Tamandua tetradactyla: one gene and its partner. The protein of the gene in region 2 purifies or fractionates together with the protein of the main gene of each other region. This does not show direct contact. Links are inferred from orthologs where the notes say so. Each region holds a gene or a part of one and is shown on either strand. Other genes may lie near its edges.

Region 1 (9,675 bases), on a different chromosome or scaffold from region 2:
AGCCCATGCACTTGCATTCAGGTGAGGACCTGAGCCCTGCAGGCAGGTGAGTGGGTCGAGGGAGGTAGAGCTGATGCTGCACTGTTCTCAGGGTCTGGTTTCATGAGATCCCCTCAGCCAGGAACCTGGGGCTCTGACCTCTGACCCATCATCCAAACCATTGTCCAACCTCTCCCGTGCCAGCTGGGTCACTGCTGGGACATGAGCCTTCCCAGCTGTCCTCTCTGGGGCACTCTGCCCCATGCAGTCTCTGCCCTCAGATGACCTTTGTCCCCACCAGTGGCAGTCGACCCACGTGACTCCTGACTGCAGGGAGAGGGCCTCGCTCCAGAGCTTCCAGGCACCAAGAGGTGGGAGCAGCCAGAGCCCTCCCGCCTGCAGTGGGCTTGCTGTCTTCTGCACTTAGGGAGCACCTACTGTGTTTAGCACCTGCCCTGGCCCTGGCGGCTCACCTTGACGGAGCTGTTCGCAAACATCTCCATGGTCAGCTCCTCCTCCTCCTCCTCCTCCAGCTCAAGGCTGCTGGCTGGCTCCACAGCCAGGCCAGGGAAGTGTCCGCGGCTGCTGCCGTCACAGAACTGCATGAAGACGGGCGCGCGGCTAGAGTTGTGCTGGACCTCGACGCGCAGCACGCCCTCACGCGGCCACTGCTCCCGCACGTGCTCCAGACAGTTGATGGGCGAGCGCGAGAAGACGATGTGGATATAGGCCAGGACGAAGAGCACAAACAGCGCCTGGGGGCAGTGGGCCGCAGTCAGAAGGCCAGGGCGCAGGCCGGGGGTCCACGGCAAAGCCAGGACCGCCTGAGTGGCTGTGCTATGAGCCAGCCAAGCCCTCGCAGGAGCCGCTGGGGCCCACCCGACCGGCAGTTGGCAGCTCAGCACAAGGCTCTGTCCAGGAGCCACCACCCCCGCAGTCAGGCAGGCACCCCAGAGTCCCCTGGCTGGCCCCTGTTTAAACTTCTGCCTTGTCCTCAGAGTTGCCCTAACCTCACCCCCTAAAAGTAGCCTTCCTAACCCAGCTGGGCACCCATCGGCCCTTCCTGGGCCTGCAGGGTCAGCTGGAACTGCGAGGGACGGTCAACCCTCCTGCTAGGGCTATCATTCCAGGCTAAGGGGGTGGAACTAGAAGCTTAAACAGTGCTTCCCATGGTCACCCTGGTTTGCAGACAAGGAAACTGAGGCACAGAGGAGCTGGGGCTTTCCCACACTGCCTGTTCAACACTGTGAGCGCGCACAAGGTCCCAAACGTGCCCCAAATCCCCGCTGCAAGCAGAGCCACGAGGCAGGGCTGGCAGGGCAGTAGCTGAGTAGCATGACCTGGTGCCCAAGGCGGCAGCCAGGATGTGGGCACACACTCTGCACACCAGAAGGGGCAGGGGCAGCCGGTCCTGAAAAGGGAAAAGGGAAGGCTTCCAGAAGGTCCTGCCATGCCCAGCAAGACCTGGGTCCACCACACAGACGCCACTGAGAGGCCACCAACACTCCCAATGCCATGGCCTGGCCACCTCATGGTCCCTTCACCACCCACAGCTGCACAAGCCAACCCCAGTTGGGGCAGGACCAGGCCTACAGCCCAGCAGCTGCATAGCCTGCCCTTGGTTTCTCCATCCCTAGAGCAGGCAGCAACACACCCAGTCTGTCAACCACCAGCCAGAGGCACCACTTACCTCCCCAAGGATGGCAGGAGCCTTCGCTGAGCCACTGGGCAAGGGGCCCAGCATCCTGCACAGCCCACTCCATGGCCTGTGTAGGTGACTCCCACCCCAGGACCCCACCTCGTCCCAGCCAGAATGCTTGGGGCACCAGGGCCTTTGCACACTCACCCCTCTCCACCCTCACCTCAAGACACCCTTGCCAGGTTCACCCTCCCCAGCTGCCGTTGCACACGTCCTGCCTTCCGTGGCATCCCATGCACTGCTGTGCCCCAGAGCCCAGCAGAAAACCCATGTTTGGGACACATGCTCACACTCCACCGACCCCAGGGCTAAGTCTCTAACACCTCCTCCAGGAAGCCTCTCGGGTGCCCTTGGGTCACAGGCCACCACGGCCACCCAGGGCTCCAATGCCTTGTCTCCGCACAGATGGGGAAGGGGGCAGGCAGAACTGCCCAGGCCCCTCTGGGTGTTAGACTGGCAGGAAGCCCATGCTGGGACCCCATGCCTTCCCCGAGAGAGGCAAAGACAGCAGCTGAATCCCAGCTCTCAGGAGTGCCTCTGGGATATCCCCAACCCTGCTGGGGGCACCCCTCCTACCCTGAGAGCATGGGGGAATCATCTCCTCCCACCCACAGGACATAACAGCCAACCTGACAGGACCCACCAATACGTCAGCCCCCTTCCCCTGTGGTGTCTGCTCAGCAGCTGCCCGGGGTCCAGAGAGAAGTAGATAGGCCTGGACCCCTGAAGCCTGCTGCTCCCAGCCTCTGTGCCATGGAAACCAGCAGCCAGGGATGTGGGGGCCTCTAACGACAACCCCCAGGGGACTGGAGCCACCTCCCCTGCAGCAGGAACGTATAGCTGGTCCCCAAAAGTTACACCACAGTGCAGTCATGGCAGGCAGGGCAGGGTCTGGGCTAGCCCCTAGGCTGCAGACTGAAGGTACCACAAGAGGAAGTGGTCACGAAGGTCTGCCTTTTCAGTGAATACATGGGAAGTCAGGCGGCAGGAAACAAAGACCAGAGCTTTCTGCAACCTCCAGCACGCTCAGAGATCCAGGCCCTTACTCTGCAGGGGAGGCACCAGGGGATTGGAGCAGATCCACAGCAATCCCCAGCCTCCTGGCTCCACCACAGGGATGGGTAGTCCAGCATCCCGGGTGACAGAGGCAAGGGGGTGGGGCTGGAGTCTGGCCAGAGGCCACACAGCCTTTCCATCTCCAAACTCCTAAGGCACTGGGCTCAGCTGCTGGGTGCAGACCTCTGGCCATAGCTCCAGCCCCATTTAAACAACAGCATGAAGCGCTTCTGGTGGTGAAAGAATTCTCTACCAGGTTGGTGCAAACACGTGCTGCATTCCCCAATCAGAGCCCGGTGCGGCCAGAGCCAAGCTTGTGCTCTCAGGAAGCTGAGTCCCAGGTGGGGCCCTGTCCACATGCAGCGGGACCTTCCTGGGTCCCGGGTCAGCTAAACTGTTGTTGTTCTTAAGGAAAAGACGCACCCCCAGACAAACCTCTGCCAATAACTTCAGGCTGAAGTGGAGTCAGGACGCCTGATAGAGGGACCCTAATTCAGTTAGCCTCCAGGCCGGCAGGCGGGCTGCAGGTAGATAGCTGGGCTGAGCCGGCCTAAGAAGGCCAGCTACTCACTGTGAACCCATTTCGCAGACGAGGGGCTGAAGGCTCAGGGGCAGGGCTAGGACCTGCACCCAGGTCACTGGACCACAGGGCTCATGCCCCTTCCTCCCCATGCAGCAGAACCAGCCAGATCCTGGCCCATCTGGGTCAGGCTGGTAACTCCACCCACACCCACCAGCTAAATCCTCCACAGTCTCGACTGCTTCCTCAGCGACGCCTCTGTGGAAATGGTCACTGCTCTGTCCTCTCAGATGTGTCAGGTGACAGCCGTCAGGAGCCCTGTGCCCAAGCAGCGCCCCACGCCAGTGCCTTTCTGACAGGCCACAGACTGCCCTGGCCTTTCCTGCACGGCCCTCATGTTGCTGTTTTGGGAGCTGCCTTCATGGCAGAAGCCTCTGTCGGAGGGAGGGAGGACTGAAGGAGCCAGAGCACAGGGTACAACAGTGACTGATGGCTCAGAGAGGAAGGAGGACAAAGAGAGACCTGGTTCAACCAGTCCCAGCCCAAGTGCTAAGCGGTGAGCAAGCGAGGCGGGGAGGCAGCGAGTGCCACCTGAGACTGCCAGTGACTCTAGTGAAGTGACCTCAGCTAAGTCAGCTTTTTCTAAGAGGCTCAAAGGAGGGAGAATCAGGGTGGGGGGCAGGTGGACCATCCCCTTGCCAGGGAAAGGGGAAGGGGGAAGGGGGAGGAAGAGATGGAATGGGGATCTCCAGTGCACTGTGTCCTGGGGGAGTGGGTAGCAGCGTGGCCGGGAAGGGGAGGAGTGACGGTGGGGGCGGGGGAGGCTAAGGATCCCAAACGTAAGAGTCAGGGGTGTGGAAGGGATTCCCTAACCGGTCGGGGCTGGCCTTCCAGAAAAGGGGTGGGATCCAGAAGGCCGCGGGAAGGGTCCCAAGTGAGGATCAGAGGGTTCCCAGGGGAGGCGGGGTAGGTGAGAATCCAGGCACCGGGTTCATGGGGGCCTGCCGGGGTCGGGGGAGCCCTAATCACTCCGGCCGGGCCCAAGCCTCCGGGGTGAGGTAGGATGCCCCAGGAGGGGGGCTCGGCGTGCCGGCCGAGGTCAGGGGTCGGGGTCGGGGGTCACGGTCACCTTGAGTAGCACAAAGAACTCGAAGAGACGGCGGAAGGAGGGTGGGAAGAGCCGCGAGTATGTGACGGCCATCTTGAAGAAAAGCGCGTGGAAGAGCCGGTCGCGCACGTTGATGAGCGGATTGGGGTTGAGGTTGGGGGTGCGAGGTCCGCGAGCGGGGGCCGGGCCGCCGCCGTTGAGCCCGGGCCCCGGGGCCCCGGGCGCCGCGTGCTCCGACATGCCGCCCAGCGTCACGCCCTAACGGCCCGCGGATCTCCGAGGGCGCCTCCCGGCCGCCATCGCCTGTATGCTCGCCACCACCACCACCTCCAACGCTCACCGCCGCCCGGCCGCCGCCGCCATCTTCCGCCTCCGCGGCCCTGCTGACGCCAGCGAGTAGCCGCGACGGGCAAGAGCGGGCCCCCACTCCCGCCCGCGGAGAACGCTGGGATGTCGGCGGCCAGCCCGCGGCGGCCCCGCCCCTGCACTCGGCCGCTGGGCTCGCCGGTGCCGGGGACGGGGCGGCGCGAGGCCAGGTTATTTTGCATGTTGAATCCCAGAAGACTCCGCGGCTGCGAGGCCGCGCGTGCGGGCGGCGGATTAAGGCACAGCTGAGGATTTCGGAGTGATTAAACACATCTAAAGTCAATGTGACCATACAATATATCCCTTAAAGTTGCGTTCTAGAAAATTTTGCTAAATATACACCTACAGGTGGTTGACCTAACTGTAAAGAACGAAATATTGAGACCTTTATATACGACTGCCTGGATCACCAGATTTGTGCTCGCTTCGGCAGCACATATACTAAAATTGGAACGATACAGAGAAGATTAGCATGGCCCCTGCGCAAGGATGACACGCAAATTCGTGAAGCGTTCCATATTTTTGCGAAGTTCCCGCCCTTTGCGGCAGGCGCCGCCAAAAGTATTTGAACACTTCTCTCCACGCTGCGTGCACTCCCTACGGGACATCCGCGCCCCCTCTCCCAGAAGCGCGCGGAGGCTGGATCCCACCACCCGGGGCCAGGCTACAGGACGGCTTGCACCTGGCATTCAAGGACAGAGTCCTCGAGAGGCGCCGACGCCCCCCCCCGCCCCACTTGGTTTCGTTATTCGTCTTTGAAAGTCCTCCGTGCCTTCTAGCGACCGGGAAAATTAGGAACCTATACTCACTGAACGCCTGCTGTATGCCAGGTGCTGAAAGAGACTCTACTCAGACGCCCCAAAGCTTGATGGGGGTGGCTAGCCACAGCAGGAGGCCTGGAAAAGCAGGGGGAAGAAGGAGACAGGACTGACAGGGGGCAAAGAGACTTGTGCAGCCCCGGGGAAAGGGAAGCTGGGCGCAGAGTCCTGCTGCAAATAGAGGGAAATGGTCTTCTCGCACCTCAAGGCCTGTGCAGTGTGCCCAGGACACAGCACGGGCATGCTGGCTGGGTCCCACCTTTCCAGAGCTCAGGTACCAAGCAGGAAGCAGGTAGATAAGCTGTCACCTTCCGAATCAGATTGGGTGCTCAGGAAGGGGGTGACCTGGAGGCTAACAAACTTCCAGATCTAACTGGCTAGTTTTCAGAATCCTGGAAGCATCCCACCCTTGAGATGGACAGACAGATGGGGCCCTTACCAAGACTAGAATGCCAAAGCCATTCCCTTTCTGTTAAATGGACACTCCTCTTGACATACAGTAGGCACTCAATATGTAGATTGTTGAAATTATTATGAATCACTCCCCAGCTTCTGCGTTAATTGCAAAAGGAGAAATAAAATCAACTTTCTCAACGGAGAGACCTGAAGAACAACGCCTTGACCAAGGTGCCAAGCCCAGCCTCACTGCTGAGAGGCATCACGACCTCTGACCTGAAGCCAGCAGAGGCAACCAGCTCCCCACCTCCACCCTGAGAAGGCCCATGAAGCCTTGGGTTCAGCATATCCCACAAATGAGGCTGCCACTGGGCTCCTAAACATGGAGAATGTGGTTATTGCACCAGAGGAACCGAACTTTACATTTCATTTCATTGAATTCAGGTTTAAATAGACACAGGAGGCGAGGGGAGGCCATAGTGGTCAGCACAGGTCTAGACCATGTTAGCACAAACACGGCATTCGAGAACAAGTTCAATTGCTGGCAAGGCTGCCAAGCAACTGCCGGCCTCCAGAAAGAGATACCGTCACACAGGAGCCCCAATTAAACACCGGGCCAAGACTTAAATATACATTTCCCCAAAGCAGGTGTGCAGAGGGCCAACAAGCCCATGGGAAAATGCTCCATGTCATCAGCCACCAGGGAAATGCAAATCAAAAGCACCATGATGTACCCCCAGAACAGCTGGAATAGAATAGCTAAATAGTAACATGCGTCGGAGAGGGTACCGAGATATAGGAGCCCTTGCACCCTGTTGGGATGTGAAATGCTACAGCCACCATGGGAAACAGTTTTGTAGTTCCTTAAAAAGTTAAGCAGAATGACCTCATGACCCTGCAGTCCCACGTCCAAGGAGAATCGGAAAAGACTGGAAGCAGGAGCCTGGGCAGATGGCTGAATACCACTATTTATCGCAGCCTGATTCCCAGTTGCCAACAGGTGGAACCCCCTGGGTGTCTGCCACAGACCAGTGGAATGGACCAGCAAAATGTGGGCTGTGCACGCTACGGCATGTTATAAAGCTCTGAAAAGGGCTGAAGTTCCAGTCCATGCTACAACCAAATGAATCCTGAAGATTTGGTGCTCGGTGGAAGAAGCCAGACACAAAAGGCCAAACACTGTCTGACTCTATTATTATTATTATTATTATTATTATTAAATGCAGGCAAAATGACTCTATTATTTTGAAATGTCCAGAACAGGCAAATCCAGAGAGAGAGAGAGAGGATTCGTGGTCTCCGGGGACTGTGGGCGGGGGTGGGGGCTTGTGGGGTGACTGCTAATGGGCATGGGGTTTCTTCTGTTTGGGGCAATGACAAGTTTCATAGAATAGCTGTGTTGGCAATACAACACTGTGAATGTAATTCGTGCCACTGACATGTCCTCTTAAAAATGGTTAAAATGACAGATTTTCTGGGGGATGCTTCTAAATCTAGACCGGAAGAAACAACACACACACACACAGAGAACAACAAAAGACAACACCACTGGGCCATCTGGAGGCATCTGGAGAAATCTGAAGATGAGCTGGAGGCCAGAGTGTGCTGGGGCATTCCCGTTACCTGCCTTGGGGGTGCCGATGGCATTGGGGTGGGAGCAGGTTGTGAATTATTCCGTTAGCGCCTCAAGGAGGCTCCTTAAGAAGGTGTCCTCCGAGCAGGAACTGGGGTTAGGGCAAAGGGATGAGGGGGGTGGCACGGGGCATGGAGGACCTGTTTGTTGAGGGGAGGCGCTGGCCGTGGGAAGCTCCCGAGCTGAGCCCAGAGGCAGCGGCCTCTGCTTGAGTTCTATTATTATTCTCCCTGCCTTGTCGTCGATGTTGTTGTAGGATGGCTGCTCCCAGCAGGTGTCCTGGCCAGGAAGCAGCAGGAGCGAGCTGGGCTGACCGCCCAGCTGGATCCGAAAGGTAGGGTGCAGGGGAAGCATCTGCATCCCCACCAGAAGTCACCCAAAGCCCTGGCTGGGAGCCCAGGCTGGGGTCCTGCCCTAACCCCCCAGGATCCCATGCAAAGCCCGGGATCTGTAGGGACAGGGCCACCCAGGGGGCTGCTCCCTGGGACCCCCCTGTAGCTGCGGCTCCTTAGCCCAGTTGCCAAGACCCTGGGGCCCTAAGGTCACCCCAGCAGCCCCATCCCGAGGGCATCACCATGTCCCCACTTCGGAGCCCCACTCTGTCAAGACGCCACCACGCCACAAATCTCACAGGCTCCCGAGCGTGGGTGAGTGCCATGGGGGGAGGGTGTCCAGCCGGGCAGGGCCCCATACTCTCCTTTGGCGAGAGCACCCAGCTGCTGGGGCCAGAATACCTAAGAGTGCAGCATCTTCACCCCTTATCTCCGCTCCGGATAGGAGCGTCTGGTCACCCCCATTTTACATTAGCGGAGACTGAGGCATAGAGGGGCCTTGCAACGGGTACCCACCCGCAGCCAAGCCAGGAGCAGGGATTCGAACCCAGGCCCCAAGGTGGGGAGCATTGAGGTTGTAGAATTATGCAGAATTATTTTACAATTCTATATAATACAATTACTATTCCATTCTGGAAGTCAAAGCTTCTCAGGCACAGGTCCAGGAAGTTTCCAGAACTGATATCTGGGGTTCCAGGGTGCTCCGAGAGCCCAGACCCAGGGACGGTAAACTTTTTCTGCAAAGGACCAGATAGTTTGTATTTTCATCTTTGCAGCCCAGAAAGTCTGTCCTAACTACTCAGTTCTCACCCTTGTAGCATGCATCCCCCTAAATGATTAGAAATCAGTGCGCACAGCTGTGTGCCAATAAAGCTTTATTGACAGTTTTATTACATTGAAACTTGAATTTTGTGTTGTGAAATATTAGTCTTTTTATTTTTTTCAACCGCTTCAAAATGTAAAAATCATTTTTAACTCGCAGCGGGAAGGCAGGCGGCTGGAGGTGGCCGGACTCTCTCCCGATGGAAAGATAACGCAAACCCTACCGACCACTCAGATACTTTAAAATTTTCTAGCAGCCACGTTGAAAGAAGTCAATGGGAACAAGTGACTTTTTTTTTTTTTGGGAACAGGTGATTTTTTTATGTAACTTGATAAATCCAAAATATAATCTGGACATGTGATCAATATGGAAACTTCTTAACGAGATCATTCATGATCTCTGCTTTTCTACCAGGTCTCACATATCCACATTTCTCCGAAAACACTTGAAGCGCATCTAGAGTCCATAAAGCTTAACGTTGAAACGGAGTCACATGCACCCAAGCCCTTCACATATATGTAAAAGTTTTCCAAAAACAGAACAGTCAGTTTTAGATTTTTTAAAATTTGAATTAATGAAAATGAAATAAAGCAAAACATCCGGTTTCTCAGTCGCACCGGCCATCTTTAGGGGCTCGGGGGCTGGTATGGCCAGTACTGCCCTGGGCCACCCGGACTTGGGCCACCCGGACTTGTGGCGCTCACGGAAAGGCTGTTTGTCAGGCGGCTGGTAAGTGTCCTGTCGTGGGAGGCAGGTTCATTTAGCAGGTGCAGAGATTGAGGCTTGGCAGGGTGGGGGCTTACCAGGCCACGTAGGTAATCTCGTTCTAGTTGGTTCTGCATTCAACTCATGGCTGTCCCATGCAGGCCCCCCATCCACCCCATTTCCTTCGCACCACCTGCTGCAGGGCCTGCAGAGCTGCCGGAGGGATCCCCGGCCGTCCCT
Region 2 (9,642 bases):
CATGCCTGGTTGGATGGGTCTCCTGGGCAATTCTCTCCTTAGTGATTCTTAGGAATCAGGTCTTCTTCCATGCTGTGGTTCTGTTATTATTAAATGTGGTTTCAGTCTGTGGACTCCAACCGGTAGACAGGGATGTAAGAGATCAAGTGTGTAGGGAAGGCCCCAGCCACTCTTAACTCAGACCAGAACTAATATGCTAGTCACTTGACTGCACTTAAATTTAAGGGGGCTGGGAAAGTAGGTTTGTCGTACACCCAGACAGAAGAAATAAGTTCGGTAAGCAGAATCAGACTGCCACAATTCCAAGGCATAAACTGTTAAGAGGTGGGTCCTGGTTTCCATCATGGTCTGTCTGATGTCATTACTCAAACTTTTCTCTTTATGCTACATTGTTAGTGCAAGGCAACAGAAAGAGCCTACAGAACCCTAGCTGGCTCATCACTTTGTAGGGGTGAGGTCATGATGAAACCAGGTTCTGATCCTCAATTTCTCTCCTTCGTGAACTTTTATTTTTTGTCAGTTCGCCAAGAGATGTTTAACGCTATGCCTATGGTGCAATTTGTAAGAAATGCCATTTTAATAGTCTACACTGAGAAAATTCATTGGCTTTATTGAATTTTTCCTCCCTCTTCTGGAAAGGTTTAAGATGATTTAATATATACATATTATATATGACACAAAAAGATAAAATAAGTGAAAAAAATCTATGAAAATAAGGGAAAGGGCCAATAAGGTTGGGGCCAGCAGTGAGGTAGAGCACAACGTTATGAATGAAACCCTATTCATAACGCATAGTAGAGGGGGCCACAAATTCATCTTTAAGATGGAAACACAAGCAGTTATCAGATGCATTGCTCTATGAGATGAATACAAACTATTTGCTTAAAAAGCATGTACAACCTCACTTCAGTCTTAAACCAGAAATAAATGTAAATACAAACCATGAATCATTCATTCATTTATCCATCCATTTCATAAATATTTAATGAGTGAGTACTATATGCCAAATACTGTTTTAGGCTCTGGGGTACATCTGTGCACAAAACAAAATCCTATCCTTATGAAGTGAGGGAAGAGAGATGTAACTCTGAGCAAGTAACTGTGTGCTGGGGATGATAAGTCCTGAGGAAAAAAAATTTGTAAGCACATTTCCCCCCTGGATAACATTGAGCATACAATGTATTTCACTCTTAAGCTTTTCTTTTTCTGGATCTATTAAGACCACTGCTTTTTTTTAATGATATAACACAGATAAGTCTGGAATGGGGTTTGGGCACCCTATTTTCATTGTTTCTTAATTCTTAGAGACTAGTATATAGCTTTCTATTTTTTTTCTATTCTGCTACTCAGAGCCATATTTCTGCTGTAGGCTCCAGTGGATGCTCTCACGATGGGAAAGTTTATGAAACTCAGGTGAGTGGTGCTGGCCCTGCCCAGACACCACTCTGGACACAGAGCCGCCATCTCTAACAGCATCAGCGATGGCTCTACGGCCCTATGGCCATGCCCTGGGGGCTGGAATCACTGCTACCCCTGAAAAGTGTCAGCTGCCCTGAGCAAGAAGAAAATCACCCAGAGATCAAAGATCAAGTCTTTTGTGAAAGTTTATAACCAAAATCACCTCATGCCCACAAGGTACTCTGTGGATATCCCCAGTGGCAAAGCCATTGTTAACAAGGATGTTTTCAGAGCCCTTGCTCAAACACAAGGCCCAGCATGGCGCCACCGTCAAGTTTCTCTGGAAGCTGTGATTTTTAAATGGTTTTGTTTCAATCTTTAAAAATACACAGACACACATAGAATAAATAAGGGGGGTGGGGGCTGAACCGCTCCCGGTGCTGACTTTTGCTGCTGACCCTGAAGTAGTTGGTGGCGGTGGGCCACACCCTCTGGTTGTTGGGTTGTACTTCCTTCCCATTTCACTCCATGTTCCTGGAAGCTGCCCAGGTGGTTGTGGCAGTGGGAGAACATCCCAGATATCTGTTCTCTCCTTCCCGTGGGCCAGCCGTGCTCGGCGTCTCAGTCTGGCGTCCCCACGGGGGGCTCGCACTCGGCGCCTGTGTGCACTGTTCCCAGGGCCAGCAGAATGACAGGCTCCTTGCTGTAGCGGCACCCGAACCAGGAGCCGAGCTGAGCCCTGCATCGGCCCGAGAGGTGGCCGAGGCTGGTGGTGGTGCCACAAAAATGGTCTCCAACAGGTCCCTAAGGCCAAGGAGAAGCATAACGAGAACATCACCCAGTGTGGCAATGTTGCCAAGACCTGGAGAAATGCCCCCGAAGGGTAGGACCCTGGCTATTGGCTTTTCATTTTTTGTTGTTTGTGGCTCTTCGATTTTCCAGATTACATCAGGATGGACATGTGAAATGACTTTAAGATGTTTCCATACTCCTGTGACTTTTAACTTGAACTCAGTCCCGATGTGTGATACTTTGGTTAAAAACAACTCAGTAAAGCATCCTGTCTTGAATGGGGGATTCACCGGGAGAGACATTCTGCTGTGGGAAATTGTTCTAGGGAGGTGGGAGTTTGGACTAGACGAGTGTAGGCATATGTGTGTGTGTGCTCAAGGATTTGAGAATCATGAAATATGAAACTGGAAATGGACTGGAGCTAATCTAATTCAACGTCTTCATTTTACAAATCAGGAACTAAAGCTCAGGTAGGGCACCCTGCCCAAGGTGATGAAGGTATGGATTCTGGCTGTAGATGGGTGATCTTTAAAATATACTAAATTATTCCATCAGAATGGTGGGTGTATTAGTCAGGATTCTCTAGAGAAGCAGAACCAACAGGAGATATCTGTAAATATGAGATTTATAAAAGGGTCTCACGCAAGCAACCATGGGATAAAAAGTCCTGAATCCATAAGGCAGGCTGCTAGGTTGACAACTCCAGTGAAGGGTCTCAATGAACACCACAATAGAGGCTCTTTGGCTGAAAAAGCAGTGAAAATTCTCTCTTCTCCCTTAAAAGTCTCCAATTGATTCAATCAAATCCAATGGATTGGATTATCTTGTTTGTGGGAGGCACGTCCTTAGATGATTATAGATGTAATCTGCCATAGCTGTAGTCAACTGCCTGATGATTTAATAAACCAGCCACGTAATATCCCTGCAGCAATGGTTAGGCTAGTGCTTGCCTGACCAGACAACCAGGCACCATCACCCAGCCAAGTTGACACCCAAATCATCATATTGAGAAAGGAGGAAAAAGAGAAGAAAGGAGTGGAGCCAAGAGGTTGGCAAAATGTTCCATATCAGCACATTTTTTCCCTATGGGAAGTGTGGATGTTCCTTATCAGTATAAGTAGTTGGCAAATGGGATACTTCTTCTGTGGTTAACATTTATTGACCTCTTACTATGTACAGGAACACGGAATACAAAGATGCCCATGCCCTAATCTCCCAAACCTATGGATATGCTACCTTGAAGGGAATTTGCAGCTATGACTGAGGTTACTGACCTTGAGATGGAAGTATTATTATGGATTTTCTCTAAAGGCCCAATCTAATAAACATATGAGTCTTTAAAAGTGGAGACATTTCTTCAGTTATGGTCGAAGAGAGAGAGATGGTGAAAGAAGAGTCTGAGAGACATGATGTTTGAAGAGGGAGGAAGAGAGCTACAAACCAAGGAATGCTGGTGACCTCTAGAAGCTGGTAAAAGCAAGGAAAGGGGTTCTCCCCTAGAATCTCCAGAAATGAACACAGTCTTCCCAACACCTTGATTTTCGTTCAGAGAGGCCCATATTGGACGTTTGACCTACAGAACTATAATTAATTTGTATTATTTAAGCCACCAAGTTGGTGATAATTTGTTACAGCAGCAATAGAAAAATGGTTTGCAGTGTATAAGGACACAATATATTCATGGAAAGTTCAATATCCATAATCCACATTCCCTTTGACAGTCAGTGTGATAAATGTGGAGTCGGACTGATAATAATAACTGATGATCCCTTGTCTCTGTCTTTAGTCAGTTGCAAGACCTCTGGTCTTCTAAAAAGATCCCTTTCATTACTGTCCCTGGGACTCTTCAAAGCAGTGAGGACATCTCATAAATTGTCATCAACCCAATCCCCATTTACTACATAGAGTCCATCCTTTTCTTCCTCTGTCTTGGGCTGCTTCTGGCAGTGTCTACTTTTCTCTCGATGCTTGAGAAGTCCCAGTTAGGTACCAGGCATTGTTACAGAACCTCTACTGCTGACTCTATGTACATATTCCATCAAAGTTGCTGTGTTCCTGTCTGCCAGGGCAAGCCTTCCAGGTAGATGACCCGATCCTGTGGAGCTAACTTCCATCGATGTTCTTCTGTGGGAGGGCAATGTTTGCAGATAAGTTGGAAGACTCCATCTGCTTCACTTTTGCATTAAATTCCTTTGTAACAGTTCTAAAGCAATACTATACATATACCCAAGGTCAAAAATAGTTTTGAGTGAGATTAACCGTTTTTACTTGCACTCCACTTTCCCTGGGACTCAGTTATAAGTCTGTATATATCTTTATTCAGAGCCTATTAAGTATCCAGCTATGTTCTAGGATGCTACAGGAATTATACAAATGAATAAACCAGTCTCTTCCCTCAAGGGGATTAGGGTAACTGGTGAGGTAGAGGAGGAGATTAAATAATATAAAGCTCAGATCAGTTCATCTGGCTTTTATTAATCAGTTTTGGCACGTAGGAACAATTAACTGATGAAACGTCATCCCACTCTTTTCTTAACATGGCCTGTTTTAAAAGAGTTCTGAAGGAAATAAGTATTTCGGTGGAGGAGACTCTAGAGAACTAAAGTATCTTAATCTCTAAACCCTCCACTTTACATAGCACCCAAATTCTTTCTGCTCTAAAGGATGCAAATTTCTGCTTGGTATGCTGTTAATGCTTAACAAATTGGTCATCTATTCAAGTAATCTATGACCTATAGTTCTTTAATAGAACTTGCTATATATATATTATAATATCTAATTTTGAATATCTAATTTGAAAGCTATGCTCTTTCTAGATATTCTGTGATTGTAAATTTCATGTTGGTAGGTAACATAACTACCTGTTCACCACTGTATCTCCAGAAAAACCCGGCATATAATGGGTGTTTAAAAAACATATCGTAATGAATGACTGATTACTTACTCTTGGGATTTTTATTTTCACTTATACCTTAAAGATTCCCCCAATTAGCAACCATCGTAAACAGTATCTTATATGACGTAAAGGCAAGGGCGGAGGGGACGAATCAACTTTGAAGTTCTAACCTAGATCATTTTAAGTAACAATGAAAGCAACTGCTATGGGGTGGGACAAGAGGTGGCGCTGTTGCCCTTTTCGCATAGCTTTCCGTTTCCACCTTGAACCGAGTTTATTTTATACTTCACCGACTTGCAATCACTAGGGTAGGAAATGAGTACGTAGACCACCCCAAGCCCAGCGTTCACAGTTTCAGCGGAGGTTTCCTGCTGGCTGGTGTGTGGTGAGTGCGGGAAACCCCGGAGCCCGCACACTTCCCGTTGTGGGGAGGCTACCCAAATTCCATCCTCGCCTAGCGGCCACGCCCCACGGTGGGAAGGCGGGACTGAAAAGCATTTCCTTGAGGCTGGCATACATTGCCCTACCCAAACCGTCATGTGTATATTTATATGTTTTTTTTTCCCGGCAGGACCAATTCCATCTGAAACCAGAGTGCCCGGAGGAGGGACACGGTAGCGAACGGGGACTTTGGGGGTAAGGAAGGGTGGAAGGGGGGATAAGATGCCAGTGATGCAGCTAGCTCTGGACTTGACTTTGGGGAAGAAAAAGAAAAAGGAGGTGGCCGGGAGTGGGACGGTTGTGATCAGCTCGTTGTGTTTTATGTAAACAAAAACAAACTATAATAACCAGATGAATTAACCTGTACACATTTCCCTGGAACAAACATCTTGAAGTTTTTGGCTTCTCTGTTTTTAAGAAACTATACCTGACTCAGCGGTTTGGTGAAAAGAGCAGCTGCAAGAAAAAAAAAAACAGTGATGAGGGGCCTTTGTTATTCCTGAGAAGGGCAATCGGGAGAGGGAAGATAAAAACAGTGCTCGTGAAGAAATTATTTGTTGGCTTGTCAGGTTACATAGCCTTCGACCGTGTGGCCTTGGGATCACTGCTCTCAGGTTCAGCTTCAGCTGTTAAGAGTAAATGAGAATGCCATTACCTTCCAGAGTGATTGTGATATTTAAAGAGATTATGTAGCAATGCTTTAAAAACTGTATAAAGTGATATGTTCTTCCTTGTTGACTAGGATTTCTGTTTTCTTGTAGTGTCTTCTCTTTTTCTGTCTCGCCTTTCTCACTATCAACCCTTCAACTTCATTCCCATTTTGAACCTTTTCTTTCCCTTTCATTTCCTATGCCTCCTTCTGGGATTTTTAACCTCCTTCTATAATGAATCCTCTTTTCCATCTGAGGTTTCTTTCAGATTTCCCATTACTATCCATTTCTGAAGTGAGGAAATAAAAAGTTGAGTTGCTCAATTGTGCAGCTCGCCCAAATTGACATGCACCTGGAAATAAAACTTTGTAGGAGTTGACCTCGTCAGTGCCCCAGAATCTCTGCTCACAGCCGGGTCATCCAGGCCTTTCAAATAGACATTGTGAAGTATTTTCATCAATGAAAACGCCATCAGTTTTCTCTGGGGCCTCCATTACTAAGTATCTAATTATTCACGTGCTCAAAGTTAGTTGAGCATGGCTGTCTTCTGCAGAGGCATTGTTTTCCCACCTTCCCCACCTCATCACAACCAGCCCCAAAAAGCTTATGCTCTAAACTTCTGCCTGGATCTGTGGATGCTGCATCTCCCTTTTGTTTTAACCTGAGCATGTGTGTCTGAAATGGGTCTCAGTGACCCAAAATCAAAGTGTGAGAAGGGCTTCATTCTTTTCTGGAGGCTCTAGGGTAGAATCCATTCATGCCTTTTCCACCTTCCAGAGGTTTTGGCTTCCTCTGTTCTCAAAGCCAGTAATGGCCAGTTGAGTCTCACATCACGTTATTCTGATACACTTCTGCTTCCTTTTTCCACATTTAAGGACCCTTGTGATTACATTGGGCTCACAGAAATAACCTAGGGTAGTCTCCTTATTTTAAAGGCAGTTGATTAGCAAACTTAATTCAATCTGCAACCTTAATTCTCCTCTGCCATGCAACCTAACACATTCACAGGTTTGGGGATTAGGGCAGACATCTTTAGTGGGGGAGGTCGAGGGGATTTTCTTTCTGCTACACCTGAGTTTTCTCTGGCTGGGTTCTCTTTATTGAGTTCCTGTCCTGTTTTTGCAATGAAGGATCACCATTTGCCTGCTGTAGCAATCAAACTTTGTATCCCTTTATCTGGAAAAACAGCATGCTGCCAGATGACAGAATTAAAATGTTTCCCACTGAGCAGAAGCCTGGGTGCCATGATACTTCCCATATAACACTACTGAAAATTATTCTTTATTCCCCCCTTGTATCCCTAGTGTTATAGTTAAATCCTTTAAGCCTGATTGATTACTATAGGTTATTTTTTAAAAAGATTTCCCTTCAAATCAAATTCTATTTTTATAGATGAATTTAGTTATTTTTATTCAACAGGCATATGAATCTTGATATGTGCCAGTCACTATTCTAGATGCTAGAGATACAGTTGTGAACACAAATTGCCAAAAAGACCCTATATTCTTGTTCTCATGAAAGTTTCAATCTTTTTTTTTCCAATTTTGTCACTTCATGTTTTTCTCCCTACCAGCTTAGGTTTAGTTGGTCTCCATCTGATTTTAGATGGGCTACTGCTCTCTACCTACTCTGGGGCTGTGCTAATGAGGGAAATAAAAAAAGAAGATGACTGAATTCTCAAGGAAATTACTATTTGGGAAAGAACAGGTTATAATAGACACATTGATAAGTGCTGAATACATAGACTGGGTATTAAATTCTCAGTATTGGTACATTATGTCTTGCTCAAAGTTTCTAACTGGGGAAAACAAAAGGAGAAAGAAATGAATATGCACAAAGGAAAATCGGCTAATTACACAGACATTGGTAAGGAGTGGAAAGAGTTCTGTCCTGAGTCTTGGGAGCTGAAATCTGTTTTAAACTCCTACATTCTCTTTGTGAGCAAATAACAAGGCATCTACCTCAGTAGCCCTTCATTGTTTCTTTTATCTTTTACTCAGAAAATGAAGGGTAGATTAGGAAATCTCTGGGGATTGTTCCAGGTTTAAAAAAGAAATCTTTGATGTTTGAACTTCTCAGCATTTCTTTGAGTTTCCTAACTAGAATAATAATGAGGAGATAGGCTTAAGTTTAGTTGGGGAGAGTCAGCACTGGACAAGGAAAGGCAGATGGGGATGGAGTAAAGGGGTTTACCTTCGCCTCAATCCCATTTTCTAAGACTGCTCTTCCTCAATTCAGGTAGCCTTCTCCTCTACTTTTCCCACCCCACACCTTTGGGTAAATTGGGCAGGGTGAATTCCAGCTTATCATATTGTGAATACCAATTTCTAAGACTGAGGAACAGTAGGATTTCCAGGTGCTCAATCCTTCTTTAGCCCCAATTCAATGTTTTCTCATTTATAATAAGTCTTGGCATTGTGGTAGCAAGGCATATAGATAAACAATTCTTGACAATTACCATGGTCAAAGCAAATTGAAAACAATGATTGCGTTTTTCAGACCTGTAGCTTCATATTTTTATGGACTAAATTACTGTCTAGGTTTGTAAATGAAAGCAAAAGCTGCTTTGAGTTTTTTTTCTACAACTATTTTAAGCCCTCATCCATGGTGAACTGTCCTATCTTCTTTATGCTATCAAAAGTAGTTGCTAAAATTGTTCCTGTAACAGAGTATGTTGCGATGAGGGCATTATTTCTAGAACATTGATCTACATGAAAAGTATTATAAATGTAAAATTCTAGCCTAAGTTAGTTATAATTCTATTAAGAACATATAGTGGTAGATGCTAAAGGTTTAATTTAGAAAATGTGTCAAAATGTACACTGTGGCCATAGGAAAACCTCATAATATGACAAAATACTCAAATATGACAAAATACTCAAAATATGACAAAATACTCATATTTTGTCGCGTAGGTTTATGGTGAAAGCTTCAAAACAATTATCTGAAATCTTGCACACAGATGTTCAATGATTTAACCAGATGACCCTGTCTTTGGGTAAATGCATAGTGCTATGTTGCACAACTCCAGAGACAGCATTTATGCTATATTCATATTATAGCATATATATATTCATATTATAGCATATATATATATATATATATATATATATATATATATATTTCACCAACTGAATGGTGAAAAATAATTGCTAAAGGTGATAACTTGGGGTTCCGAGAAGTCAATCCTAAGCCTTTTTTTTTCTGATATTAATTAGCCATCAGGACCAATTATATGCCAAAGCTAGTTTATATCGGATAAAGGACTTCTTTATCAACTTCTCTAAAGTCTCTCAAGTCAGATTGGGCTGTTTTGGCCCAGACAAGGAAAACCCCTGGTTGACCTCTGCCTAAGTGCTGCATGATCCCTCTTTAGCCTGGACCCCAAATTTAGTGCTGCCTCAGGGTAGTGAGCAGCACTTGTTTATTTGAGTGGTATGAGCCCGACTTGTGGTTCAGGGAACA

The links.
Region 1: the proteins of STYK1 (region 2) and TMEM259 purify together in Homo sapiens (affinity purification with mass spectrometry; 3 studies listed by BioGRID and IntAct, with this or other methods). This does not show direct contact. The link is inferred for Tamandua tetradactyla from reciprocal best matches to the Homo sapiens genes STYK1 and TMEM259.

Annotation. Positions count from the first base shown.
Region 1 is NC_135337.1:81,996,798-82,006,472, reverse strand, and holds the start of TMEM259 (membralin), read right to left. Parts: upstream 4,820-9,675; 5' UTR 4,603-4,819; coding exon 4,384-4,602; intron 735-4,383; coding exon 453-734; intron 1-452. UniProt on the Homo sapiens protein: May have a role in the ERAD pathway required for clearance of misfolded proteins in the endoplasmic reticulum (ER). Promotes survival of motor neurons, probably by protecting against ER stress.
Region 2 is NC_135333.1:73,294,108-73,303,749, reverse strand, and holds the start of STYK1 (tyrosine-protein kinase STYK1), read left to right. Parts: upstream 1-5,261; 5' UTR 5,262-5,471; intron 5,472-5,540; exon of another isoform or gene 5,541-5,559; intron 5,560-5,657; 5' UTR 5,658-5,700; exon of another isoform or gene 5,701-5,722; intron 5,723-9,642. UniProt on the Homo sapiens protein: Probable tyrosine protein-kinase, which has strong transforming capabilities on a variety of cell lines. When overexpressed, it can also induce tumor cell invasion as well as metastasis in distant organs.